Linked DNA regions of Drosophila melanogaster. The protein of the gene in region 2 purifies or fractionates together with the protein of the main gene of each other region. This does not show direct contact. Each region holds a gene or a part of one and is shown on either strand. Other genes may lie near its edges.

The links.
Region 1: the proteins of chas (region 2) and jbug purify together in Drosophila melanogaster (affinity purification with western blotting, with the first as the bait; one study listed by BioGRID). This does not show direct contact.

Annotation. Positions count from the first base shown.
Region 1 is NT_033778.4:22,732,717-22,739,540, forward strand, and holds the start of jbug (jitterbug), read right to left. Parts: upstream 4,330-6,824; 5' UTR 4,126-4,329; coding exon 3,889-4,125; intron 1,481-3,888; coding exon 830-1,480; intron 590-829; coding exon 284-589; intron 3-283; coding exon 1-2.
Region 2 is NC_004354.4:17,690,595-17,697,463, forward strand, and holds the start of chas (chascon), read right to left. Parts: upstream 3,794-6,869; 5' UTR 3,668-3,793; intron 1-3,667.

The DNA.
Region 1 (6,824 bases), on a different chromosome or scaffold from region 2:
GTCTGCGTGTGAATCGGACATTAAAAATTTACGCTCTGCACCTGGCAGACTGCAGTGTTCATATACACACCCACAGTGATGGGTAAAATAATTGAGCTGACTAGTAAAAATATTTGTTTAATTTAAAAATTGGGAGCTATCTTTCCAGTTATATTGTAAGTAAACACCACTGATCGGATTTGTGTTAAGTAATAATATATATTTTTTTCTAGTCATGAGTGCCCTATTATTTTGCCACCATCTGTACATTCATATATATATTGTATATATATGCTTCACTCACCGGTTCGCCCACCCGACCGGATGTGCTCTCCAGGTAGACGCTGACCAGGTCGGACAGCGGAGGCCTCGGCGGCACCCACTGCAGGTGGGCCGCGTAGGCCATGATGCCCAGGTGCTCCACTTCCGGGTTGGCCATGTCCTTGGCCGTCAGGATGGGCTGCACGCCCAGCCGGGCGCCCGCGTCCACCGCCTTCCGAATGTTGTTCTCGTAGTGGAAGGGATCGGTGCTGAGCTTTTCCGGTGCGGGCGCCGAGCCACCCAGTCCCTTAATAATTTCGCACATAACGCGTCCATCGTTCCAGTCGGTCTGCGAAATGAAAGTGCCATTATGGGATACGATTATTATTGGTTGGAAAAATACGAGAATTAATAAGTATTTATGTTCTTTTTAATGCAATTGTTGCAGATGTACATTAACATTTGTTCAACGGATTAAAAGGTCATATTTAAATGCGGTGAAAAAGCGTGTTTTATTGTAGAGCCATAAGGATTTATTAAAAAAGAAGGCTGCTTTATAACTGATATGTGATTATGGATATTAACATACCGTAAAGTTCTTCACAGGGTCCTTGACCTGCGTATTCACCCATCGCATGGTGGCATTGTAACCAGGACCACCGGGCTTCATGAAGTACGAGAGGTACGTCATGCCGGACAGCTCATCCAACCAGGGCGAGGCGAGGTACTCCGGTTCCAGAACCTTGGGCACTCCAAACTCGCGCTGAGCCAAGTCCATGGCCTGGGTGCAGTTGCGCACACTCTGGCTGGGATCGAGACTTCGCCAGTGCGGGAACAAGCCCGGCTGGCAGTAGTCCAGGAGCGCCGCCAAATTGACGCCACTATTCCAATCGGTGGTCAGATTGGTGATCCTGCAGTCCGGCAGAGCGGCCTGCAGCCAGGCCAGCATCAGTTTGCGCGGCGGGAACTTGCTCCTTCCGATCTGGTAGCGCACGATAAGGGACCAGATCAAGCCCAGGATCAGCTTTATGTTCCCATTCACAATGTCCACGTTGCCGATGTTCACCAGCTTGATGTGATCCGCCTCGATGGACTTCAGCGCCGTGGTGGCGTTCTCCAAATAATGATGCTGGTTGGCGGGTCGGCGATTCCACGAGGGTTTCAGTGGACGCGTCTGCAGATTCTCCACAAGGGCGCACAGACAAGTGCCATCGCAGAAATCGGTGGCCCAGTCATGAACCTGAGAGACAATGGGAATTTGCATTAACTTCTCCGTATCATTAGAAATAGTAATGGGAAAGTTTGTGGCAAATAATTAGATTACTGCTGGAATACATTCCGTTTAGCAACGCAAGTAATGTGGCAAGTAAGAGATGGGAGTGCATTCCATAATAGGTTTATTATTATAATTGCATTTAATATGATATTAGCTTTTTACGGTCTAATGGATTTGCAAAATGTACTTTTATTAAGTGGGTAGTTTTTACTTTTCCATTCTATATAGATTTAATTTTAAAAAGCATGCTAACCCAAAACAAAAAAATGTTCGAAAGAAGAGATTTTTTATCTTTATTTAATGACTCTAGCAGCATTTTCTTTATAGCTATGCATTAGTTGAGATTACTAGACTTGCTGTAGTACATATGTACATAGTTCCCAATGGAGATTAGCAAATGTGCGAAACGCCTACCATGTCTGCGCAAATGCAAGAAGGTCGCTTGACTGGCAGCCTTCCTAATGAGCAATCAACGCCCCTTCCGCAAACTGGTGGCCCACTTTGCAAGGTAAACCGCTTGCTCGGAACTTGGAGCATGGAGCTCAGATCTCGGAACATGGCACATGGAGCTCAAGAATGGGCTTGGGAACCCAACAGGTTCGCTGCTCCGAACTGAGCGGCTTTCTCCGCCCGGGTGCAACCAATTGTGCGCGATTTTAAGCATTTGACATAAAGCTTTTTATCTGGCTGCTGTCGGCATTCGATTCGACTGGGGGGAACTCCACTCCACTCCACTCAACTCAACTCAACAAATAAAATACGACAAAAAACTGGAGAACTGGGTACGGAGACAATCGCGTGTCTGTTGCTGTTTGTTTGTGCCTAGGAAAATATTCATTGGATGCCATAAAAATCTCACATCGCACATATGTAGTTGCTCCATGGCTCTCTAACAAGCTGCCGCAGGTTGTTATTTGTCGCTGCTGTTATTCCGCCCTTAAATTTTTAAGATTCCTCTGATTTTACGATATGAACTCGAGTTTCGTTGGGAGTTGCGTTTTCACCTAACAAAATATATATGTACTTTTATTTGCATATAAATTTTTGCTATATGTCAGAAAATGTCTAGTCATTCTATTACGACAGTTCCATGGTGGCAATCATTTTGAGATAATTTAATTCTACCTGCCGCAACTGTTGTTGCACTGCATTAAAACGTTAAGGTCATACAATGCAGTCACTTTGAATATTTCTCTCCGTGTATCTGCTCCCATCAAAGCATTTCCCTTTTGTTTGCACATGCATTTGTCATACAAAGTGGATTGCAATATTATTTGTCGCATACGCATGAACTAGAATTGTAAACAGCGTAAAAAACGCAAACTTGGATGACTCGTTTTGGTTTGGTGACCCAAATAGACGCCAGCCAGGTCACAATTAGCGCTGTTTACTAAGGGGTCTTCAGCCTTGCTCATCACATATGTACACATACACGTATGTATGTACGTTTTTGGCCCAACCGAAAAAGTAAAAAAAAAAAAATAAAACCCCGAATTTTATACTCGAAACCGGGCAAGATCGCGCACAAAAGCTTTAGCTTGTTTTGTGTATTGTAACTGCTAATGGGAACTCGATGCGTTGGCCTTGGCATTCAACCGGCCAAATATGGTCGGTTCAGGTCGTTTCAGTGCGGTGCGTGTGAGAAAATCCGTCGAAGCGAGTGACAGTTCAAAAGTCCCTGGACAAATGAAATGCATTGTTGGCAGTACACATAAGTCCGTGTGAGTACTCTTGGCATCATTGTTAATGTAATTGTCGTTGCTGCCATTGGAGTTCAAGATCTGCGTGGGCGATTGAGCCGAGTTTTATGAGCCCGGCCTTTTAGGGAAACTCGCGGAAGAGCTCGAAGCCCCAGTTTATGATGGCGATTTATACTTTTACGTGTTCTGTCACCAGTCAATGCGCTCGTTATGCGATTATATTTAGCTTAAATGGGATCAGTATATGAACTTCAAAAACCTTGCTTTTAAAGTGCTTCTTAATTGCGATTTATAATAATCGAAAATTTTATTTGTATAGAGTTCAATTAAAAAGTGTTCATTATTTCACATATTCATATTTTGTTTTCTATCCCTAATTACACTTCATTAAGCAGTGCCACTTTTTCTATGTGCAACTGCCTTCGCAAATCATTTCCTGGCTAAAATTCCAGATCTAAACGTTTTGTATTTCACTCATCGATTCTCAGGCCCTGCTTCATCAATAGTTCTACGAATTCCACATTCAACGGAGCTAGCCCATTGATTGGGTAATTGTTTTTTGCGCTTGATCGATCAGATATTCAGTCGGCGGCAGGCATTACTCAGTCGGTTAGAAAGTGTTGCATAATCGGAATGTAAATATATCTACAATATATCTATGGCTTAACTCACCTGCATTCCCGTTTCACGCAAATGCTCGTTGACCCAGTTGCGGAATGTGTTCGCCTGGATCTCTACCCAGAGGTCCTCGTTGCCCCGTATGTTCATACCCTTGGCGGCGGTGCCCTCGGGACTCCGGGCCACCAGACCGGCATGGGTGATCTTCTGCGTTTCGGTGGTTCCATCGGAGTTGTGCTTGAGCAGCCCCGCATGCGTCACCTTGGCGCCTTTTATGTCCTTGACGTCCATCTTCACTGCACGTCACTGCACTTCACCTGCGACTCGCACATATGTATGTACAGATGTAACTCGCGTTCGAAACACTGATCGGGAGAAATGGATAGATCGCGATGAGATACTTCTGATCGCTGTAAGTTGTAGCTATGCTATTCAGTTTCGGTTTCAGTATCAGTTTTAGTTTCGTTTGCACGCGCTCGCGGCCCGAAGCGAACTGGAACTGCGCTTAGCTGGTCGATCTGGGCGGCTCTGCTCTCTTGGCCTGGCCAAAACAAACGATGACGTCATGGCCAAAGCTCAAAGCTCCAGAGAGCAGCAGGAGAATTTATAAAAAAAAATGCGGGGGGTTTCGCCAGCGAATGTGTGTGTGCGAATATCTCTGAATCTGGCTATAAAGCAAAACTGGTTTCGTCGCTTCCAAGCCAAAACGAAGCGAGCGAAAAGGAAAATTGAATACAAAAATAACAAAAAGGCGAAAATAATACAAAAAAAAAGAGTCTGTAAAATAACAGAAATCACTTAGTTTGGAATTTCGCCGCGGCAACAGCAGGCAAAAAGCGAGCAGATCTGGTGGGCAGTACTGTGGATGCCAGTGGTTGTCGTGAATGTGGCTGTTTGGGCAAGTCTTTCACAAACGTTAGAAGGCCAACATGTGTGTAAACGTGGGAGCCACCCCAGAAGATAATGGACGTAATCACAGCAATGAAATCTGCCACGATCAATTGTCAATTGTTCGCCCGTTTTCACTTGTCGCACTTTTACCCAAACAATTTGTGCAAACCGAAAGTTGGCCGTCTGAATGGCCTTTTTGGCATTTTTCCACACGGCGTTGCGAAGACAACGAGGCGTCAAATGACCGTCTAACCAACTTAATTATAGGAAATCCGGTTGCGTTTCTAAACAAGTCAATTGCCACAGATCGCATATATCATAGCACGTCCAGTTCTGAGCGAGGCTGGTATGCAGATTTTGAATACGAATACGAATACTATTTATTGACAAACACTTTTCGGAGAGGTAAACAACTCTGGGATGACATCACTCATCACTTGCTCGGCACAGCGATGAGTTGTGGCTTGAGCACTTTTTTAACGCCCCGACAGGAGAATACAGTGCGAGAAAATCATGCTGACTAATATTACAAAAGACAGTTGACGTAGCTAATCTAGTAACTCTTCAATGGAATTCCTCTTAAAACATCAATTAACTACTTAAATACACCGCTTTGCCGCAAACTAATTTGTACCTTAATTTATTTTAAGCAGAGATGTCATTGTTGTGTTTTTGTCTCAGTGACAAAACTGCGTGGCTTGGATGAAATAAATTAACCAGCGGGGACAGCAAAAAGTGGAAATTAATGAATTGCTCCTCGGACTTATGAGTGATCCCGTGGCTGATGTCATTTACTGACACTTGACATTGGCAATGAACCTAATTAGTTGCACTCGCCAGCGGAGTGGAATGAGCCCCACTACTCGGCGAGTTCTATAGATTCAGCTGGCGGCAAGGTCATGGGAATGGTCATGATAATGGTATTGGTGGTGCTATTGGCCAAGGGGAATGGGAATGGTAATGGTAATGGGAATGACCAATCCGCTTCTTAGTTTACTCAGTTGGTCAGCAGGTAAATATCGAAAGTGTTGTCGTGACTTTAAATGGCAGAAGAGGGCCAGCTAGCACACCTAGTTTAGGGCATTACGTAATGGCCGAAATTTTCGACTTTGAATGGGCAAAAGTGTACGTATCGTAGGCTACAAATCGGTGTATCTATATCACAGAATGCGATGTGCACGTAGGTGTCTGGCATTTTTTACACTTTTCGATTTGTTTGCTGTCCGAATATACATTCGTATATACTTATTTCGCTTTTTGCCTTGCAAACCCACACGGCCAGCCAAATCTCGTAGTCGTCGTCATCGGGACAGCCACCCACATGGTTGGTTGGTTCAACGCCTCGTTCTAGACGTGGGTGCGATTTCAAGTTTGATTTGTGCCAAAACCGTGTACCAAATGGCCATTGATTTCTCAATGATTCTGTAGTGGCTGCCTAGCTACAACTCTGTTTGGATCCGAGCTGTGGGAATATATTTGGTTAGATGTTCTATGACAACGTCATTAACTTTGAAATATATGAGATTAACTGGAGTGGAGGTGAAGCCCATAATTATGTTGATGGATGGTTACGGAATTTACTACGAAAGGCTGTTCTAGAGATGAACCTCGAAAAATAAATGATGATTGAGTTATTTCATCAATTAGGTTTCTTAAACCCTTTTTTTTTTCAATATTCGATTTCTATTATAATAGTAACAGGCAGACTTAACTTTACTACTCAGTTGGACACAAGCCAATTGTTGCTTGGATTCCCTGCCAAAAGAATATAATACGATTTAAAAGTTTAATACTACATTGGCATCCTTTCCAAGATTATTATAAGTAGATTCAGTGCTATTTCCTTTTTAGACTAGGGGTGGGCTGTTTGTTTTGTCTGTTGGTATTACATATTCGACTTCCTGTTGGCCAAATGCGATTGTAACACTTGCCACGCCTTACAGTTAAATGATGGCCTATTAGCGCACGCTTCTATAGCGAGTAAGCGCTTATTTTTGGCATCATTTTTATGGCGGTTCGTCATAAATAGAAAACACTCCAAACGATGTGCTCACACATACGCACAGACATACATATGTACATATGTGTTCCCTGCTCTT
Region 2 (6,869 bases):
GCCTAGAACGGTTCTACCAGCTCATTAAGCCGCAGCCAAGGGCCATAAATGGATTTGGGTCCGGCATTTGAGCCACTATATCTGTTGTGGTAACGAAGATATATACATGTATATTTTTCGTTAACCAGCAAAAGAAAATACAGGCAGCAAGCCAAAAGGCCAGCGTGCACAGTTCAAGGCGATGAAATGGAAAATAAAAGTGGAAATTCGGACGCAAAACAAACTTTTGGGCCCACTTTGAATTAGCTGGACCCAAAGAGCGGCCAAAGGTCAGAGCACCAGACCCACGGCGATGGCAAAACAAACAAAACAAAAAAAAAACCAGACCCTGTGGCCTGTGAAAATGTTGCCCTCTGACTGCAGTTGCTGTATTAGGGAATATTTGGTTATACACGAAGATATCTGGCTGGATTTACACAGAAAGTTGGTAAAGGGGTTTGCGAAATACATGTAATACTTGAATCGGTAATTAGGTCGATAAATTATTTGAGTAGTTTACATTTTATTGGAATTTTCTAAGTATGCATATATAACATATTTTCAGTTATAACATCACCAAACTGGCTTTCTATTAGTTCTGTTTGCTCTAAGATTTATTTAATCTGCCACAAATCTTTAGCAATCTGAACTGTAGTTTTCCAATACTAACAAGAAATACTAACTGTTCTAGCAATTCGAACGTTATGTTGACCATCGTTTTCGTGAACTATCTGCCCAACTTGAGATTCTGCTTCCTACGGATGTTCCTCAGACGCGATATATCCACGTTCATACATCCACAAGCTCGTTGGTGCGGGAAAAACGATTCTTGAATCGATAATTAGGCAAACGAACAATAAATCTTGACCGGGTTGTCGACTGGCTGATTTGCTATTTTCGGTTTTAGTTTTTAGCGATCTGCCAATGACGTCAGGCCACCACAACTAACACACACACACACACACTTAATTGTGACTGCAATTTGGCCATTTTTGTAATTGCTTCCGGTCAAATCGATTTGTTGCTTTGTAAAAGGGAATCAATGGAAGCCACCGCAACAAAAAAAAAAAAGAAAAAAACGTAAAAATATGGCAGAGAAGCTTCTGACTTCGGATTGTCTGTGTGCCGCTTAAGGCGATGCCAAAGCCGATGCCTCCTCTTTTGTGACAGGCTTACTTGGGCCAAAATCGATGGGTGGGGAGGGGGTAGGGGGTGGTGGTAGTCACGCCCAACCATGAGTCACCAATTGAAAAATCTCGCTTGATTTCGGGGGAGCTGGAGTTTGGAGTCGCAGCATTGGCAAACTTTGACAATTCCTAATGCAATCGCAATGCCTTTTACTTGACCCAAAAGCAACAGCAGCAAAGCACTGGAAAAAATCGAGCTTTCAGATGAATAGTTTTTTGAATGCATTAAACTTGTCTAGCAATTCGTTCTAGGCTGGATAACAGGGTCACACTGCTCAGGCTGTGTGACCAAGCGACAATGAAAAGCATTGCTTAAGAAGTTTGGTTCATATTGATACCTTTTTTTGTTTGCAATCAAAGAATTTTGATATGAATCACTTGTTTTTCGTGTGCTAATCCAGTTCCTTATATTTTTTTTTTCGTGTGCTGCGACAGCAACTTCTTATGTGAAGGCTTTGAGCTGTGCGATCTGAGCAGCAACAACAAAGTTGTTGCCGAGCCCACAAGTCACGCACTGGTCAACCAACGACGAATAGGTATCCAAAACAACTAGTCCCAGCCAATCCCCCAATAGCCCCTACTGCCCAACCAAAAGTCCCCTTTTCCCACCGGCATTTGTTGTAGTTGCATTTAATTCACGCCTTTTGGCCATACAAAGACATTGAATTGTGGCTGCTGTCCAAAAAACGCAACACACAGGCCAAAAAGAGGTTTTCCTCTTTAGAAGAGCGTAAAAAAAATCTTAAATAGTTCACCCACAACAACCACAACGGACAAACAAGTTGAGCACGTATAAAAACAACAATAAACAACCAGGCAACAAAACTCTTTTTTCAAAAAGGCAGCCACACATAACTGGCAACTAACAGGCGACAACAACAATAACAACAACAACAAGAACAACAGCCACAATAATAATAATAGCAAACTGATATAACAACAACAACTGCATTAGTTGTGGGTGTTAGTGAAAACCACCGCCCGCAGCCCACACTTCATTCCAACCCCTTTGAAGCTTCAATGCACTGGAAAAAACTTGGGCAATGCTATTAAAAGTATTGTTGTGGCTATGAGATTTGCTAGTTAAATGAATATGAAATCATTTGGGCTTTTGAATTTCTTCTAACAAAAGAAAAGTATTAAATGAATAATATTTTCTGGTATAAATATTGATGTAATTGGAAAGTATACTGATTACATAACTTTAAAATATGATAACTCTTAATAATTTACTAAAGTACTAAGCTCAGAGCGTATGAATTGAACAAATATATTCAAGAGTGCCATCCCTTTTCTCGCTGTGTGGTGGCCAACACTTTGTGTGCAGGCTTTGATTTGTTGCTATATGTGAGTGTTTCTCAGGCCTTGTTGTTATATTGCCTGATCTCTCGGACTTTGGGGGCCTCTTAATGGTGGGAAAATATTTCCATGGCCCGCTGCCAAGTGGTGGCGATGCCGGTGGTGGTAGGGGTGCGGGGAATATTGGGTTTAGGTTTGACAAACTGGCAATATTGCACCAATAGTAGAACTAATTCGTTGGGCCAACATTGCGTATGAGCGATGGGCCATGTGGGTTGAGTGATGCAACACGCAAAGATCAACAAAATGGCAACAAAATAGAAGTACAAACTAAATTGTTTGTTGTTTGCCAAATATGCAGCCGAACAACAACAACAACAACAACAAATGTCACGACAACGAATAGAGCGGCAAAACGAAGCGCAAAACACACGAAACGAACGACGAAGAGTGAGTGCAAAAAAAAAAGCAAAAAGGCAAAAAAGCCCGAGTTAATGATTAATTTTTTGCACGTATACGCCACTTGGGCCACGAGATCTGGCAACGGGAATGGGTCGCATAAAAATAAATATCCAATTCTACAATTCTGCACAGCACAAAAAAACATACATATACATATTTATGTAAGTATAGTGCATATGTTTTGAACGACGAACAATGCTCATCGCGAGAAATTCCACGCATATGCAGATAAGTTGTTGAGCTAAATCTATTTGTTGGCCCAGTTTTCTTAATTGTTCGCGGCTTTTCGCCTCAAGCTAGTGTTCACTATTTACTATGGTCTTGAAATTCCACGTTTACATAAATATTTTTCTATTCTCACTGCCTTACTGTTGTATCAAGATCAAAATTGCGCGTATAACATTTGCATACATTTAGATATAAGCATGTACAGCATCAATATCACTGGGAACATAAATCTGCATAGTGACGAAGCGCACCAGTGAAATGTGCGCATGTCCAACTACAACTACCGATTCAATGAGGATATGGTCTATCCTTTATACATACATCTTACTGACAAAATGCAAATGCAAGTATTTTGTTGAGTGTAGACCACGAGAACTTTCAAATATCGAAATGCACCTTACATTTTCTGGGCATATCTATGCAAATATTCAGCCAAATACCTTTCGAATGCCTGCTATCACGATCCAAGAACAAGTTCTTGGATGCACATTTTTTTTTCCGTGTGTACTTGCCTCCCGCTCACCCTTCGCTGCACCTCTCACTCTCTCTTTCGCGATCGCTGGCTATTTTTATCTCTTGCACTGTCACACTTTGCACTTTGCCTTCGCCATTCAGGCAATTAGCGCAAAAAAAACGCACGAACAATAAAACCAAATAAATACAAAAAAAAAAAAAATACAAAATAAAAAATCAAGTGCAACGCGACAATCAACAAACAAAACAAATCGCAATTAAATTTAGATCAATTCCATTCGAGGGGTTTTCAATTTAAGCGGCTGTGTTAAATGAAGCGCCAACGAAATGGAAATTGAAACCGAAACGGAAAACGATCGTGCCGAAAAAAAAAACCGAATAAGCTGGAAAAACTTTGCGCTGAGCAGCTGGAAAACGGAAAATGGAAAATGGAAAATCCGAATGAGCGCGCGATCGCGAGCGGCGTGTTCGATGGCGCGTCTGCGACTGCTGGCCGTCGGTAACTGCACCGTTAGTTTGTTACACCTGAGCTGAAAAACTTTATTATTTTTTGTTCGTTGTATTTTTGCCTCTGCCGACGTCGACGCTGGCAGCCATTCATTGTTTTTGCCCGCTCGTCGAGAGCTTTACCTGAGCCACCTTACGCGATTAACGTGGCCCGAATGTGAGTACACTTCGAGCCAACAGGGGAGTACAGCTGCGGTCGAAATAATAGGGCCATGTGGTACTTTGAACACTTAATGACATGAAAATTACCAAAATAACAGAATATCTCGAAAAAGATGTCTTAATTTATGCTGTGAGAAAGAAATGTCTTAGTTTATTAAATTTTCAAATTAAAAATGAGTCTTGCACGCATTTAAACGTGATTTCATTCTGTTTTCAAAATATATTTTTTAAATATTACAAATTTATCATGTTTTCATATATATTATTATATATTATATTATTATTATTTTTTGACATTAAGAAGCTATATAAAAAGGAAACATGTAGAACTTGTTAACGCAGAAATGTTAAAGAGATTGAAAGAGATCGAATAAATCGTTTTTTCTCATGCTTAGTAATTCTGAAGAAAGATGGTTCAATTCTCTGTCAAAAGTACGCAGATACCACTATTTTTTTGACCACAACTGTAAGCAATGGTATTGTAAGTAACTGCGATGGGTTAGGGGGCAGTGGGTGGTTTTAAGGGGTCCGTCTAGCACTCACCAGTTCGTTTTGTTCGTCTTTGGCGCCAGCTTTTGATTTGATGGTCTTGCTTAAAGCCATAGCCGCTGCAGATTAGTCAGATTTGTTTCATAAATATAGAGTCGAATGTACTACGGATTACTTTTCTCTTACAGTTTTCTTTAACTTTGCTGATTGTAACCTTAGCCTTTTCTCGATTTCTGTTTGAAATAAGAAAATGAGGTTTTTGTAAATTATTTAATGACATTTTCACATAAACATATTTTTAATTTATTTATTCAATAATAATTATTCAGCATTTTTAATTAGCATTTCCACTAGAACTTTTTAAACATTATGTTTTAGCTTTTGATATTTAGATTCACCGGTTGCCGTCTTAGCTTAGCTGAGTTTCAAACCACATTCCCGTTTAAATGCGAGCTGAAAAGTATGCTTCATGAATTAATTCTTTTCTCAACGGGCGTTCACAACAAATTCCGAGAGATGGAGCCACTCGATAGTGCATTAACATGATAATTAATATTATTTATCAAAAGATTCATCAAGTATAATTTTAAGTTACTTCTTTCACAAATATTCCCAGTTGCCTGAGTTAACTTCACATTTCAACACTGTTTTCTTAAAAGCTTAAAATCGTTTTAATTATATCTTGAATTCATTTTAATTTGGATAGATTGTGCCGCCTGCAAAGTTTTATTTTTGAAGCGTCTATTTAACAGATCGATCACCCCATCAATTGTGCAATTCAACCGATAAAATGGTGTTAACTGATTTACCATTGAACCTGGGCTTTTTATTTACTCGTGAATAACTCTTATAGTAGCAATGATTGCGGCTGAGTTTCGTTTGCCTATTAAGGAAATTTAATGATTGGAAATCTACAGAAAAAAATCCCCATTTCCATGCTAAATCAAAGGATCAATTATATTGTTGTCGTCCCCTTGACTCGGATTTTGTGTTCTCCACTTCTCCGATCTTTGGCATCGTTCGATCATTTGGATAATTGCTGCCTTCGAACAACTTTGAACTGACGGAGCGGCCCACTCGCAGTTTTGCCGCATAGTTTCGAACGCATTTGGTCAAAATGAGTTTTAATTTTCGTTTTTGGCCAAAGCCAAAGTCAAATCCAAATCATTTCGAACGCCTTCGCCGGGCGACCCGCCCCCGCCTGTTAATGAAACTCAAGCGTTCTCGAAACAAACAAAAAAAAAAACAAGAAACTAAAACAGAAACATACAGGCTTAAACACAATATTACTGTTGACACACAAACGGGGTTTGAAGTCAACAAATTTACAAAATCGGAGGATTTTACGATGCTCGACGTCAAGGCGATATAAAAATAAAAATATGTATATGTGCAGAGAGAAAAATACTTTCGGTTGAATATTAAAAAAATTTTTAATTTGATAGATTTACTCTCTCCAATTAAACAGCTTTATATAATGCATACGATATTATTTTCAAGAGCTTAATCGGAAGAGTTGAAATAGCCGAATAAGCTTGCTTATACCTTTTTTCCCCAGTGTAGATCTTCGATTCGATTTGCATATGTACATTTTACATATGGATATAGTCATGTCTGTGTATTTGGACATATATCAAATATTGATAGCTGCTCAAAATGACGAAACGATCGAGTTATTTGCGCGACTTTACTTAACTCATTCTTGATGCTGTTTTCTTTCTTTCTTCGACCCACACAAAGCGAGTATCTGCCATACATTATATACATATATGTATATTTTATAGAACCGTGATCTGTCTGGGGTTGACTGTATGTATTTGTTGTGCGGCATACAAAAAGTGGAACTTGTCGGTTTGTCGTACCTGTAACCACAGTGCAGCATTCCTAACGCGATCCTCGCCTTGAATGAACGAACTCGATTCGATTTCATTGAGTAAAACGAATAGTTTGCTGAATGAAGTGATTAACGAACTAATAAAAATGTATTTATTGGCTAGTTTGTTCGATCAAATCAATCATGAATTTATAGAGCTGTGGACCATCAATAAAGCCTGCTAGAAGTATCTTAATGGAATATTCATA